Lonchura striata: one gene and its partner. The protein of the gene in region 2 purifies or fractionates together with the protein of the main gene of each other region. This does not show direct contact. Links are inferred from orthologs where the notes say so. Each region holds a gene or a part of one and is shown on either strand. Other genes may lie near its edges.

Region 1 (7,500 bases), on a different chromosome or scaffold from region 2:
CAGAAATGTTTGCTCGAACATCCCATTATATTACAGCCTTCACTGCCAACTTTGAGCATAAAAATACTGCAGCAGGTAGGCATGGCACAAACTTCTAAAGGTAAATCCTAATCCATGAGAAAACGATCCTGTTCTTCAGTCCCTGTGTCAGGCCCCAAATGCACTCAACTAGCCCAGCAGTGGCGAGTCAAACAGTTCAAAACAAGCTGGTATTTCGACCACCTGGAGGTGGTGTTAAGCTCTTCCCTATCCATAGTCCAACATGGACAGCAGAAACCCACCAAGATCTTGCAGGCAGCTGTTTTCCCTGAGCTCAATGCTTTTATTTTTCAAGCACCAATGCCAACGCAGGCCATTGCAGAATGCAGGGACACCTAAGGAGAAGGTCTTGTCCATTAAATCTGCTCTGTGGGTCTATAATTAATATAATCATTATAAAAAAATTAGGGCTTTCAAAGCCTGTAAAACAAGTCACAGAAGGATCCCTTTATCTTTACAGGCCTGTCTTCACTACGCTCTCTGGTCTCCTCACTACCTCTGGTGGATCAGGGCTGCAAACATTTAGTATCTCCAGCACACAAGCATTGCACTGGGAACACTGCTGGATTATGAGCAAAGGCCTTGTTAAGCTCTGCTAAAAACCCAAAGACTTACAGTAGTGACTTTCCAGAGTTCAGAAGCTCTCAATTCACTTCAAGCATAGAAAAAGAGTGGCTTTCCTTGGGTCATCCTCCTGGAGGTCACTACAACATCACAACAGGGCAACTCACCTTACCAACCGATTCTTTCACACAAATTCACGCTCCAGATCTTTTTTGTCAAGTGTCTGCCAAAACAAATCCTCCACCCAATGGAATGAAGACACAGTATGAGCCTGCAAACTCTACAAGAAGGCACCTGGGTGCAGGGCTGCCAGGCAAGGTCAGCTGCCAGCCTGCCTCTCGTGGGAGCTCACCAGCAGTGTTTATTTTACACGTTTTCTCTTCTGCTAATGAACACGCAGCAAAAGAAACAATGGCCCAAGAGAGGAGAAGCAGGCAGCAGCACTGGGGGCACTGCTGGAACCAGTTGCTGCCACCAAGCGTCCCAGAACACACCACTAACAAATTCAATTTTTAAACACCTCTGGGAATACAGAGACAACTGTGCTGGGCCCAAGGACAATTTTGAGCGCTGCCGCATTACTCCCTTACCCTACAACTGCGTGGACACGCTAATGACACAGCCTCACTCTCTCCCTCAAATAATCATCCCAGGAGTTGCAAAGGCCCCCTGCTTGTGTTGGGCAGCTGCATCGTTGCTGCTGACTCTGACAAATCACACACGTTTGCAACGGATGAGGCTGGTAATGAATCTGGGCACTCTTTACACAGGAGACTCAAACAGGAACACTCAACCTTGCAGTTTTGCGTTTTTTTGGTTTATTTCTCGGGATCGTTATCTCAGAAGTCATCACAATAGAGTGTAACCTTCACACAAAGGAGCGATGTGACCAGTTTTGTGTCATAACGCACGAGGTGAATGCAAACACCAACGCTACCCTGGATTTCCTTAAGCTTTGCTTATGTCCATGACTACAACGACAAACCAAACAATCCAAACACAGACTTCTACCTGGCACGATTAACTTGTCCTCTTAACTTCCAATTAAGATGACAGCTTTCCAGGTAGAAATTGCAGAGCTGTCCATCTCCCAAAGATCAATAACTCGGATGAATCACCATGCTAGGTAGTAACAGTTCTTACAAAACACTGGCATGTACAGTAATTGGGAATCTGACGGCACATATGGCAGCGTGATTTCAGAGCTAACAGAGACAGGTAGAAAAAGATTAAGTCTTTCCCAAACAAGACGCTTAGTGAAAACTTCTGCGGTTTTCCCCTACTCCCGATTCACTTGAAGCAGGTACGAGAGGAGCGCAACACCCATCCCGACAGGCGAGGAAATGGTGTTCTGCAGCTTCAGCCTTTGCTGACGACAGCAGCGGGTTCCAAGCGCGATTTGGACAGCGCAGCCCCTCCGCTTCCCTTTTCGGGGACCCCCGTTCTGCGCCGCGCCCGCAGCCCGGGGCAGCGCCCGCGCCGGGCAGAGCGGCGCTCGCCGCGGCCCCGCCGCCATGAGTCGGCAGAGAAAGGCGGCGCGGCCTGCGCGGGGAGCCGCGGCCGCGCACACGTGGGCAGCGCAGGCCGCGGCCCGGGCCAGGCCCCCGCGGGGGCGGCGGGGCCGCGCTCCCGGGGGAGCCGCACGCCGGGAACCGACCACGTTGCCGGCGCTGCTGCGGCGGAATGCCGGGAGCGGGAGGGGAGGGGGGGCCGCGTGTCCGCCGCCGGGCCCGCCCGCCACCACCACCGCCGCCGCCGGGCCGCCGGCCCCTCCGCCCGCCGCCGCATGGCCGGGCCGCGCTGCTCCCCCCGCCTCGTGGCCGCGGCCGCGCCGCCGCCCCCCCGCCCCGCCGGGCCCCGCAGGCCGCGGGCGCGGCCCCACGCCGCGTGTGCCGCATGGCGCGGCCGCCCGGGGCGCGGTCGGCGGCGCGGCCGGGCCCCCCCGCCCCGCTCCCGGCGACCCCCGAGCACCCACCGGGAGGCGACTGCCCGTTCACGGCCGGCGCGTTCTTCGTCCAGGGGTTCACCTTGGGCGGCGGGGCCTCGATGAACTCCCGGCGCCCCGCGCCGCCCGCCTCGCCGCCGTCCTCCGCCTCGCCGCCGGCCCTCAGCAGGCTCTCCTTCTCCTGGTTGTTGCTCTCCTCCTTCTGCTGCTTGGCGCTGGGCGGCCTCGGCGCCGCCGGCCCGCCGTCGGGGCCCATGGGCGGCTCGCCCTTCTCCCGGCCGCCGTCCTGCGGCGGCTTCAGCACCAGGGCGCGCTCCTCGGCGGGCAGCAGCGGGGCCGTGCCGGGCAGCAGCGCCTCCACCTGCGTCGCCATCTGCGCGCCCCCGAGCCCCGCCGGGAACCCCCCGACCCCGGTGCCGCCGCAATATGGAGCCGCGCGGGGACCACGCGACTGCCGCGGGGGCGCGCACCGCCCGCCCGTGCGCGCCGCCGGCGAGGGGAGGGGCGGCGCGGGGCGCGCCCCCGCGGGGCGGCCGGCGGCGCGCACGGGCCTGATGCAACGCCCGGCTGGGCCGGGCTTGAGGGAGGGAACCGGGGGGTTTAAAGCGCTCCGGCCCCTTCCCGACAGCCCGGACCCGCCGCCCGGCTCGGAGAGGCCGCGTTGGGGCCGGGGGAACCGCTGCCGGCTCGGGGAGTACGGGAACGGACGCGCCGGTGGAGCCCCCGAGCCCCGGCCGGCATCAGCCCGGAGCCGAGGGGTAGGGATGCTCTCGGTCACCCACGCCTGGGGATAACGTGGTTGGAAAGTGCAGCAAGGGACTCGGTGCGTGTCCTGGGGAATCACGGAACCACAGAAACGGCCGGGTTGGGCCGGCTGGTCCCACCTCTCTGTAAAAACAGGGGTTGTCCCAGAGCACATGGCACAGGATTGGCATCCGGACGGTTCTTGATCATCACCAGTGAGGGAGACCCCGCAGCCTCTCTACTCTCTGTTCCAGTGCGGGTCACTGCACAGTAAATAAGTTCTTCTTTATATCCAGGTGGAATTTCCTGTGCATCAATTTTTGCCTATTGCATGTGTCCTATTGCTCAGTACCACCGAAAAGAGCCCTGCTCCATGTGCTTGGCTCCTCCCTTTAGATATTTATGCACATTGATGAGCGAGAGACCACTTCTCATCTCCTGTGCCCAGCAAAACCTTTGTTTGAATAGGCTAAAATATTTAATTGCTCTCTAGCTGATAGAATGTCACTTGCTCATCACCATCATTTAATATTCCTGGTATTTGTCCTCAATTCTTGCAGGCAGCAAGACAGCGACTGCAGACCGTGTGTGTTTGCGCACATGAATTATACACATTTAAAAGGCAGCTTGCACTGCCAATACCATTTAGCACAACCTGCCTAGTTCACAGCAGCCCTTACTTGATGCCTTTTTTATTAAATGCAAGCTTCTCCCAGCCTCTTTCCTCATCACAGCGAGCACACCACTCTGCTTCTGCCTGGAAAGGTTCATCTGGAAGTCCCAGCATGTCCTGCAGCCCCAGGGACACATCTATGCAATCCCTGCAGGAGACCCGTCAGCATGACAAGGCACTGAAGATGTAGCTGCCAGCTGCTGATGCGTGGAGAAGGATGAAAAGCTGATTTCACTGTTGGAAGGAAAGAAGAAAGTGAGAAACAAACATGAGCTCAGCACAACATTTGGAAGGGCAGCAGCATCATGGTGGATCCATAGAGGGAGTCCCAGGCTGTCAGGGATGCTCCACTGAGACCATCTCTGCTCTCTATGTGCCCTGGTACCCAAGCTCTTGGCTCAAAAAATACCCTCCTGTGCCACAGCCTTAGGGATCACCAGCAGTTATCCCAAATCATTCAATAATTTGGCCACTAAAATTCCAAAAGGAACTTTAAATATAACTTCAGAAGAGAGGCTTGCTGGCCTGGCTGGCTGAATACCTGAGCTGCAGTAACCCAAGCCACATCCTGTGCTCCTGTGCCCGGTCCCTGACATGCTGGGGGCTCCTCATGAGTGTGACTTGGAGCTGCACAGCTTCCAGCCATTCTCCCACCTACACCCTCTCTAGGAGCAGGTCCTGGCATGGGGAGCACAGCTGGGTGAGGAAGGTGGCTGCAGCCAGGGGACCTGCAGGCCGTTGGTGTCCCTCACCTGTCCCCCAGCCAGGGTGCAGAGTTCCAGCTCGCTCCCTGTGGGACGCTGCTCTGCTGCCACGTGAGCAGGAACGAGCCCGCGGTGGCCAAGAGCCAAACTGGCTCCAGAGCTGCCAGGCAGGAGGGAGCTGGATGAGTCTCACCCTCATGCAGTGCCCAGCCAGCCCAAACCCAGGCAGGTTTTCGGAGTTAGAAAATAAATGCATGAGCAAGGGTGAGGGGGGAAGAGAGGTGTCCGTACAAGTTTCTTGAATCAGCTATAGGGAGCATCACCTTGGCAGGTCAGCTCTCAAACACCCATCCATGGCCAGGGAAGCTGGGTGTGCACCACCTCCAGCTGCTGTAAACACGCTGGCCATGCCCAGCAAGCTCCGTGTGCTCCACTCCTCCCTTGGTGTCCTCACCTCTGCTGGACCCACCTTCCCCTGCTCTGCCCAGCGTCCACTTGGATATTCTGCTCCTCCCTCCAGGGGCTTGCTGAGAGGCAGCCAAGGAGTCTCCACATTTCTGCAGCACAATTCACTGGGAAGTAATCCATCTCTGCTTTCCCCAAATGCAACAAAAGCACCTGATTGGCATCCCCAGTCCTGCTTCTCTGCCTCATCCTTCACCCCAGATGTGTCCCTGTGCCTGCCCAGACCACATCAAGCAGCTCTGGGTGCTGCCTCCCGGCCCTGTGCTGGCCCTGCGCAGGCTCTGAGGAAGCAGTCTCCAGGGAAACTCCTCTGCTGAGCAGTGATTTGGGCAGGAGCTCCCCACCTCCCTTGCTCCCTGTACAACAGCTTATTTATTTCTCCCCGACTGAAGCGTGGCTTGCATATTTATCACAGACAGCCGGCTGCTTTGGTGCTGGCCTGGAGGTTTAAAGATGCTTTGACGGTGGCCATTAATGCCTCTGAGCATCTCTGGGTCTTGCTTGGCTGGAAAATCCCCAGCTTCATTTCTGCTGGTCTGGCAAGCTCACCTAGAGGCCCAACCTTCCCTTTGGGAACAGCTTTAGTTCAGTGGCCTGGAGCAAGGCCTGTGCATGGCGGAGCACAAAGCAGCCGATGTGACTGATATGCTCCTTAACTTCACTATCCTGTTTGGCTGGTAGCTCAGCCCCTTTCTCAGGTTCCACTTGCCTAATTTTGTCCAGCACTGTGGCCACGAGGTCACCGTTAAAAGAGTTTCTTTCCTACAGTTTCACCTTTGCTCTAGTCAGGTCCTGAGTGCTGCTCAGCATCTGCAGCACACTCCTGATCACACCTCCTTTCCCTGCATCCAGGGCTGTGCAGACCTCGCAGTCAGCTCAGATGTGATGTGTGCTTCCCAAGGGAATTTTCTTTTCCCAGCACCTCCAGACCAGTTTGCCTGCTGCCAGTGCTGGTCACGCTGTTCCCTGGTGAGATGCCCAAGCTTTACACGTGGATGGCAGAATATTAAGGCTCAGGCATCTTTAACGCTGTGCAAAAGAGGATTGTTCCAGGAAAGTCCAAGCTTCCTATCCTGAGTCATATGCTTTGACTTATTTATGTGGTTGTTATTGCTCCATGAACCCTGCCAGGCAGAAACATTGTCAGGGACAATGCACACAAGGTTGGGCTGACTTTCCTGCAGCAGCCCTGCAATGCTGCCCTCCAGCAAACCCAACTGCCCCTGAGGGATGTCAAAGTCCTGCTTCCAATGGACTTGCAAAAGCAGTCTGACCATCCAACTGCTGGTGCCCACAGGGAAAAGCTTTTCAAAGGACACCCACAGCTCATTCCTAGAAGAGAAGCGTCTTCGCTCTGAGAAGAGGATGGTATGTTGGTGCAGAACCATTCTCAGGACTCTGGGCCAACAGTTACAACCCTCACATTGAAATGGGAATTTTTAATTTCAGAAAACCTGACAGTTTCCCACTGAAAAATACTCAGCTTGCCCTGAAATTCTTCACCAGGGTAATCTGACCCCACCTTTTAAGTCTGGGTGATATTCTTTCCCACAAAACAGTGGAAGCCCAAATTCCCGTCCCAATTTGCTGTGCCATTGGTGAGTGGGGCTGAGGGCAGGCTGCCAGCAAATCCTTGTGACTCTGCCATGGCAAGTGCCTCCAACCAGCAGACACCTATTAGTGGCACATAGTGGCCATCACAAAGCACTTGAGTACTTTTAAAATTAAACACCCAAACCTTTTTTTCTACTACTCAAAATATCCACATTTCAACCTGCTTTAGCTCACAACCAGAAGAAAGTGCCCATTCCTGCAGGTTTCTGCCAAAGTGAGTGCCAACATCCCCCAGTTTAACCATATTTTAGCCTCTCCTTGCCCCATGTTTTTAACCCCAGAGCTTCCAACCCTGCTGTGGAGTGAGGGACCATGCACTAAAGCACAAAGCACAGCCAGAGCAGATATCTCAGCTCCTGCACTTCTGCTGCCAGGGCACAGGGGTGAGAACACACTGAGTGCTCCAGACAGCCCCATATCTATCTGCAGCCATGTGATCCAGAGAGATGGAAGACACTCCCTGGCTCTGAGATTAATTCACTTGGACCCTTCCAGCAAAGCATATGAAGGATCAGCGTGAAGAGTGAGCGCATTCCCACCAATAAGTAATTTTCAACCTGTGTAATAAAACAGCAGACACTAACGAGTTCCATTCCATCCCCATCAAAAAGTGCTTTCACTTAGCAGGGCTCCACAGCCCAGGGGCTTGGTGGGTTGGTGCTGCAGCCCAGCCAAAGGCACTGTGCTCTCAGGGCACTCTGCCACGCCTGGGGTAGGAACCAGCTCCCAAAGCTGCTGGCCCCTCGCTGCTT
Region 2 (7,764 bases):
TCAGACCTGGTTCCTGTAATAAAGTGATTTAATAGATCTAAAGAGGCCAATTCCCTTCTTTCTCCTACAATTACTTCCTGTGGGTCATCATTCACATATGTAAATGAAGAGGGGAAGGAGCGGGTTTTGAGGGGCTCTGGAGTGTTAAGCCCCAAAGCTGCTTTGGGGCGCTGGGTGCTGGGCAGGGCACAGGAGTCCTGAGCCTCGTCCCCCCCGGCTTTTGGTGGCTTTTGCCCTCGCAGCCCCGACTCCCTCCCCGGGAGCGGAGCGGGCTCCGGAGAAGCGCCCTGGTGCTCGGGGTGGGGACAGCACCGGGACAAGGACCCGATTCCCCGCAAGCCACCCAAAAGCAGCGAGGCCGCGGCGGGAGCACGAGCTGCTCCCTCTGCAAGGAGATGCTCTGCGGAGGGAGAGACGCCGGGAGCGGCTCCGGCTGTTCCTGCAGGAGAGCAGAGACTCTGTGCCACCAGTGAGAGGAGCAGGGGGCGAAACCCGAGTCACAGGAGAATTCTCCAGCAGCCCAAAGCTTCTGGTGGGGCAAAGCCCTTTGCTGCCGCCGGGAGCCTCCCGCACCCCTCTGCTCCCCAGAAAAAGCCGCTTTTCCCCAGAGCTCCCAAACGCTGCAATCTCTGGGATCTCCCCCGACCCTAGAAACCGGGGGGCACCGAGAGGCTGCAGGGCAGTGGGATGCTCCCGACAGAGACACCCCAGCTAATTCCCTTCCCCTGCAGGAATGTGAGCGGGAGCAATCAGGAAACCAGACTGTCTGGGGGCAATAAAGCCCCGGGAGCAGGGCGGGAGGCTCTCCCCGGGAGCGCTGGGTCCCGCTGTGCCGCATTGAGATGCAAAGGCCCATTTGCTCTCTGGAGAACACCAGGATCTGTTTTCCCCTGGCTGATTTGGAGCCCTTGACTCCAAAACCAGCTGTGCCGGGGGATAGCAGCTCCTACCAAGGCGCTTTGCCCATGCCACAGCCAAGGGAGAAGGGATTGGCATCTCCCCCGGCCATCATTTCCTTCCAGTCCTGCCTGGAGGCCTCGCTCAAGGGCAGGGAGTGAGCGACCCCCGGGAGCTCCAGGAGCTCTCACAGCCCAGGAGCTCGGTCCTGCACCCCCAGCCCAGGGGATGGACCCATTTTGGGGGGCTTTGGGCCCCTGAAGAGCAGCGGCCACTGCAGGCGGCTGGTCCCGGGACTCCCCGGAGCCAGCGCCACGGTGCTGCTCTCGATCACGCGTACAACCCCCCGTGTTTGCTCCAAAAACACCCGTGCCCCCTTGGTTCGTGCTCGCTCTGCCCCCCAGCCCCACGGCAGTCCCGAGGTGAGGGGCAGCACACAGAGCCCCGTCCGCACGAGCCGGCGCTGAGCCCCGCATCCCCTCCCGGCGCTGGCCCCGGTTCGGGCACCGTGTCCAAACCCCTTCCCCCAGCCCCGGCGGATCCTCCCCCGAGATCCGGGGCGTTCGAGGAACTTCAGCCCCTAATCCACGACTTCCCAGGGTGCGGGGCCCCCGACACGCGTGGGGCTTCCCCGCTCGGCAAGGTCAGATCCGGACACGGGACTGTCGCTGTCACAGATCCGCGGGGACGCAAACCCGACGCCTTTGTGCCACCCGCGGCTGGGACAAAGGGCGCGGGCAGGGATGCCCGGTGCCGGGATGAGCTCCAGCGGGAGAGCTCCCGGTGCCGCGTCCCGGCCAGGCCGGGGCTCCCGGGCTCACGCCGCCCGCTCCCCGGGTCCCTCCGCGGGCTGAGCGGCGTCACCTGCGCCCCCGGCCCCGAGGGGCTCCTCAGCCAACAACGACGGCAAAATGAGATCGCCCGGGATCGCCTCACAGGGCCGGTCCGCGGAGAGGAGCCCGGCCGCGGCCGTGCCTGCCCGCCCCGCCGCCCGGGGAGCGCGGCTGCGGCGGCAGGGGGGACCCCATCCCTCCTCCGTGCCCCGGAGCGCACCCCGGCCCTCCGCAGCGCCCGCGGCTCGGGCCCTACCTGGTGCACGAAGACATCGACGGGCGAGTCCAGGGTCGCGCCGCCCTTGGCGGTCATGGAGAGGAAGCCGAAGCCCATGCGGACGTTGAACCACTTACAGATGCCGGAGCCGTGCAGGGGCTGGGACTCGTTCTCCGCCTTGGGCGAGTCTCCGGCCGGCTCCTCGCCCGGCTTCGCACCTGGCGAGAGACCCGCGGAGCCGCTGAGCCGGGGCTGCGGCAGCCGCGGCTGCCCCCGGCCCAGCCGCCCCGCACCCGGCCGGCACAGGAACCCCCAACCCTGCTCGGGGTGCCCCGTGCAGGCTGGAAAACGCAAAAAAAAAATCCCCAACCGCCCCCCCCAAAAAAAAAAAACATCGGAGAGGTGAGCTCTGCCTCCACGTGTGCACGGGGATCACCCCAGGAAACGAAGGCGGCTGCTGCCAGCACGACCCAGGCAGTGCGTGCAGTGGGAGCTCTAAATCCGTTTCTCCCTCAAAAACCTTAAAAACGAAAAAAAAAAAATTAAAAATCCCAGACACACACAAAAAGACCAATCGAGCAACGGAAAAATAGCCAAAATATTTTTTTTTCTAAAAATCAAAATATTAAAACAGAACTTTAAAAAAGGGCAAAAAACTCCCCCAAAATCCCAACCCGAAACCCCGCTGCCCCCAGCAAGCCATGCTGGAGAAACTCTCCCTCGCCGTCAGCATCCCCCCCTTGCACCGTCCCACCCCCGCTCCCAAACACCCCCAGCAGCCGCCAGCGGCCCCAAACTTCTGGGGTCATCCTGGGGCTGGAGGGGGGAATAAAAAACCCCAATAAATCCCCCCTGCGACCCCCAGCGCTGCGCGGGGCAGAGGGGCCCGGCGGGCCCGGCCGCGCTGCCGGGGCTCAGCGGGACTGGGTGGGCCGGGGTCGGGGGGGCCCTGCGCCCCCCAGCCGGGCTCTGCCCTCGTTATTAATAATCGCGGAGCCGAGGCGGGCTGCGACAATAATATAACTTAACCTGCAAACTGCTGGTTGGAAACAGACCCCATCCCGACACTCGCTTGCAAATTCCGAGTTGTGGCTGTTACCGCCTCCTCCCTCCTCCTCCTCGGCCAGCTTTGAGGGTATCAGGCCAGCCAAAAAAAAAAAAAAAAAAAAAGAAAAAAAAAAAAAAGGAGGAAAAAAAAACCAACAAAAAACCCCAGCTTAGACCCCGCCGGGAGGGAGCCGGGAGAGGTTTGACTCCATCTTCACTCCAACAATAGGGGTGGGAGGGAGCGGGAGGGTTTTTTCAAAGGCTCCCAAATTCTCGCAGACAATAGCAGCCCCCGCCCCCCCCCAGGACCCACCCGCGGGGCCGGGGGGCGCCGGGCCCTGCTCCGCCATCCCGTCCCCACGTGATCCTAATTAACCCCCCCGCTAATAGCGACACATTCCGGGAGGGATTTGCAGCGGGGGGGGCTGTGTGGGCTGACCCCCCCACACTTAGGGCACTTGGGGGCGAGGCCACCTGTCAAGGCAGGAGGTGACACCCGGGGAGGGGGGCTGGAGGTGGGACCCCCGGACACCGGCGGGAGCTGCCACGTCGTTAGTCCGCGCCCCCTCCCCACGAGCGGAGCCACCTGCGAGCCGCGACCCGCTGGGACGGGGAACGGCACGGGGGAGGGGGCGGCTTCCCGGGACCCCGGGCTCTTCCTGCGCCCCCAGCCCCATCCCGCGTCCCGGCACCGTGCGCCCCCCGGGATGCGCCGCGCTTCCCCCGGCCCGGCGGCCCCGGCGCGGGGAGCGGGGCCGGGGCGGGGCCGGGGCCCGGCGCCCCCCGGGCCGGGCGGGGACAAAGGGCGAGTGACCAGCGGCTCCATTTCCGGCGGCGGACAATGCCCCGGCCGCGGGGGCACAGCGCCGCCCGCCGCCCCGCCCGGGCTGTGCCCCCAGACCGGCCCGGCGGGGGCAGCGGGGGCCGGGGGCGGCGTCTGCGCCCACCGCGGCCGCCCCACGCGCGGCCGGTCCCGCGTGGTGTCACCGAGCAGCGCGCGGTTTGGCGGGGCGCGGCCACGGGGACCGCGGTGTCACCCGCGGGGCGGCCCGGGGCCGGGCCGGTGCTGCCGGTGGAATCCCGCGTGGGGAATCCCGCGTGGGGAATCCCCGCGTGGGGAATCCCCGCGCGAAGCCCCCGCCGCCCGCGGCGCCGCTGCCGCTGGCCGTGGTGCTGAAGCGGCGGCCCTGTCCAGGGTCCTGGCGCTGCCCTTCCTCCTCCTGCTCTTCCTCTCCCTCCTCCTGCTCTTCCTCTCCCTCCTCCTGCTCTTCCTCTCCCTCCTCCTGCTCCTGCCCCGCACACCGCGGCCTCCTCGTTGCCCCTTCCCCACAGAGCCGAGCAGCCCCGCTGGACCCCACTGGCGGACGGCAAAGCAGGAGGAAGAGGAGGAAGAGGAGGAAGAGGAGGAAGAGGAGGAAGAGGAGGAAGAGGAGGAAGAGGAGGAAGAGGAGGAAGAGGATGGTTTTTCTCGGTGGAGGCACCCAAGTGAGCTGCTGGGAGCGCCCCAGCCCGCCAGGACTCGCGGTGCCGGTGGGTCCGTGTCCCACGGGCACAGGCAGAGCGGGAGGTGTCACCTCTCACCCCCAGCCGCTGGCACAGCGTGTCCCTCACCTTCACACCGCCCTTAACGGGCTGCCAGGAGTCTCCGCTGGTCTCTCATGGTCGGTCCTGAGCCGATTCCCCAAAGCCGAGGAGCAGCACCTCACCTGCAGCAGAAGGAGGGACGGGTCCGGCCAGGGTTTCCTATGGGATCCCCTCTCCCGTCCCTGACCGGGCTCTGGCCGCCGCAGAACTCCCGCTCCGGGACGGGGCTGGTGGCAGTCCTGGCAAGAAGGAAACCGCGGTGCCTGTCCCTGTCCCTGCTCCCCCTCTCTGCTGGCACCCCGCGCCAGCTCGGGTGGTGCTCCGGGACATCCCGGGACCATCCCGGGACATCCCGGGAGCAGGAGCGCGTCTGGCCCCCTCTCCTGGCTGCAGGGCTTGCGCATCCATCCCCGTTTTCCTCTCGGCTGGGCGATAACTGGGGCAGGAGGGGAGAAAATAACCCACCCCCCCCAAAAGGCTCCAGCCCCTTCCTCTTACCCCTGCTTCCATCCCGTCTCCTGCCCAGTTTTCCCCGTTTCACTCGGGATTTGGGGAGGGCACGGGGGAAGGATGTGGTGAGGAATGAGCCCTTTCTCGCTTTCTCCACAAGGAATCCTTCAGAAAATCATCCACACCCTGCACCAGCCTCCCCCTGCAGCCCTTCCTGACGGACAGGAGCGACCAGCAGCCCCGGAGGCATTTCCCTGTAACTTTTTGCTGGCAGCAGCGACTTCCTCAGCGCGCCCCGATTTCTGCCCGTCCTCAGTGGCTTTGCAGCCCCGCGATGCAGCCACGTCCCCGATCAGGGCGCTTCCATCCCTTTCCATCCCACCCTTCCCCGCCGCCGGCCCGGCCCGGCAGCGCCGGCCCCGTGTCGTATTTCTGTGTGTGGTGTATTTGTTTTCGGGGCCTGTTGAATGGCAAACGCGGAAGGGAAGGGAAGGGGACTCCTTCCTGTTCTTTCAGAGCCGGTCGCTGTGCCCTGCTCGGCTTCAAGGGAATAGCCGGCAAAGCGGCCGCTTTCACAAATAATGGCTTCATTAGATTGAAAGAAGTGGACAGTGACCTCACTGAAATGGACTTTCTGACCCCTGCTGACCTCTGGCCCCGGCTCTGACAGCCTGTAAATCTTCCCCCTCGGCACGGCCGGGGCGAGGGCAGCAGCTCTGTGAGCCCAGTGCCGGCGCTGCTGTCCCTGGGCCGGAGCCACGGAGCTGCCCCGGGGCTCCACCGGAGCCCTGACCCGGCAGGAGGAGCCCTGGGGCTGGGCAGCACCCGGGCACGTGGGTCACAGCGCTGGCAGAAATCGGGACCGGTGTCCCCAGGGTGCTGCAAGTCCCTGCGGGGTCCTGAAGTGCCGTGGAAAATGATCTTATCTGGGCTGAGGCTCCAGCGCCATCTCGCAGCGCTGTCGCTGCCATCGCTGGCCAGCCCAAGAGCAGCCTCCGAGCTCCTGAGGAAGGAAAATGTTCCGTCTGCCTGCCCGCCCCGCAGGCACAGCCCTCCTGGCTGCACAAACCTCCTCCAACGCCGGCCGGGCCCACCTCCACCCCCTCCTGTGGGCACAGACCCTTCCCTCCAGCCCCCTCCACCTCCTTCCCCACCCAGCCAGCCCAGGAGCCTGGTGGCCACCCTCCAGTCCTGCCAGCCCATCTGCTGGCGGGGAAACTGAGGCACGAGGGGGCGCGGTGGGTGCCCATGCTGAGCGCTCCACCGCGCCCTGCCCAAGGCTGGCACTCGCCCCGGGGCTGGCAGCGAGCCCCTCACACCCCAGCGCCCTCCTCCCACCCTGCCACGCTCGCTGCTGACCTTTGGCTGCCAGGCAATCAATAAAGGAGGCCACGGAGCTGCTCCTCCCCCCCGCACCCCCTGCTCGCCCCGCGGGATGCTCCCAGCGCTGGGAACCCGGGCCGGGGGGACACTGGCACAGGCGTGCTCCCCGAGGGTGTCCTCACCAGGCAGCGCCTTCCCAGCCCTCCAAAAATGCTCCCCTGGGGCTTCTCTCCGGCCCTGGGTGTCCCACAGCTCTGGGGCCATCCCGCTCCGTCCCAGATGCGGCTGCCCGGGGCACTGGCACCTGGCAGGGAGGGTGAGGAGAGCTCCCGAGGGTGCCCTGCAGGGCGCTGCCTGCGGCCAGGCTTCCCCCGCAGGGCACGGGGCACAGGAGGATAGAGACGGTCCTGCCCCTGGCCTGGAGCGGTGGATTGTGCCCAAATTCGGCAGCTCCCTTCGATAAAAGCCCTGGGGCAGCAGCTGATTGATCGGCTGCAGAGCGGGGATTGATCAGGATTTCAGCCCATGCATATTCCTGCTGCCTGATAAAGGGGGATCGATAGCTGAAGGATATTCCTCAGAGGCTGCAGATCCCCCCAGACCAGAGCTCACAAGTCTGCCCTTGCCCCTTAAATCCCCCCAGCCCCGTTCAAACCTCACTCCCCCAAGAGGAAATCCAGGCAGTGGGGGAGAAACGTGGTTTGGGGGAGCCAGGAGGGCACAGCAGGATATTGAGGAAAGGCAGCTGAATCTCACCTCCCAAAGCATCGCCTCTCCTGCATCTTCCTCCTATCACTGGTGGCCCGGCAAACAGGGGTTCCATCTTTCCTGGGCTGCTGGAGAACCTCCTTCCAAGTCCTGCTCAGGGTGATCCCAAGGGAGCTGAGCTGGCTGATCCCTCCCGAGCCCCGAGCCCTCATTGCCTCCAAACTGCAGCGGGGCCGCCCCGCCCCAGCGCGGAGCTGGGAACGCATTGCAGCTGCGGGCAGAGCGGAGCCCCCCGGTCCCCCCAGGGACGGCCGGTGTCACCCGGGGGAGGGACACGGCTCATGGGGGGTCCTTTCTGACCCCCCTGCAGCCCGGGGAGGGCTCGGGGCTGCGGGGCTGCCCCCGGCCCCGTCTCCCTCCCGGGAGCTGCGGCTGAGCCCGACCCCGCCCGGCCCCAGCGTGCCGCGTCCCTCCCTTCGCACACAGTGACTCAAAGCCCAGGCTCGCCCCGGTGTCCCTCCAGTTTCTCCGGTGCCTGGGGAACTGGTTTGCTGCGGGGGACCCTCCCCAGCGCTGATGGAGCGCTGCCCGGCCGGCGCGGGGATGGAAGAGAGCTCCCGCCGGCTCGGCGCGGACACCCACCCTGGCACAGCCTGGCACACGCTGGCACACACCGAACACACCGAACACACGCACCGACACCGC

Evidence for each region. The genes of interacting proteins can lie anywhere in the genome.
Region 1: the proteins of LIN28A (region 2) and LARP1 purify together in Homo sapiens (affinity purification with mass spectrometry; 5 studies listed by BioGRID and IntAct, with this or other methods). This does not show direct contact. The link is inferred for Lonchura striata from reciprocal best matches to the Homo sapiens genes LIN28A and LARP1.

What each region holds. Positions count from the first base shown.
Region 1 is NC_134617.1:5,182,511-5,190,010, forward strand, and holds the start of LARP1 (la-related protein 1), read right to left. Parts: upstream 3,001-7,500; 5' UTR 2,922-3,000; coding exon 2,579-2,921; intron 1-2,578. UniProt on the Homo sapiens protein: RNA-binding protein that regulates the translation of specific target mRNA species downstream of the mTORC1 complex, in function of growth signals and nutrient availability.
Region 2 is NC_134628.1:323,269-331,032, forward strand, and holds the start of LIN28A (protein lin-28 homolog A), read right to left. Parts: upstream 3,008-7,764; coding exon 2,977-3,007; intron 2,166-2,976; coding exon 1,987-2,165; intron 1-1,986. UniProt on the Homo sapiens protein: RNA-binding protein that inhibits processing of pre-let-7 miRNAs and regulates translation of mRNAs that control developmental timing, pluripotency and metabolism.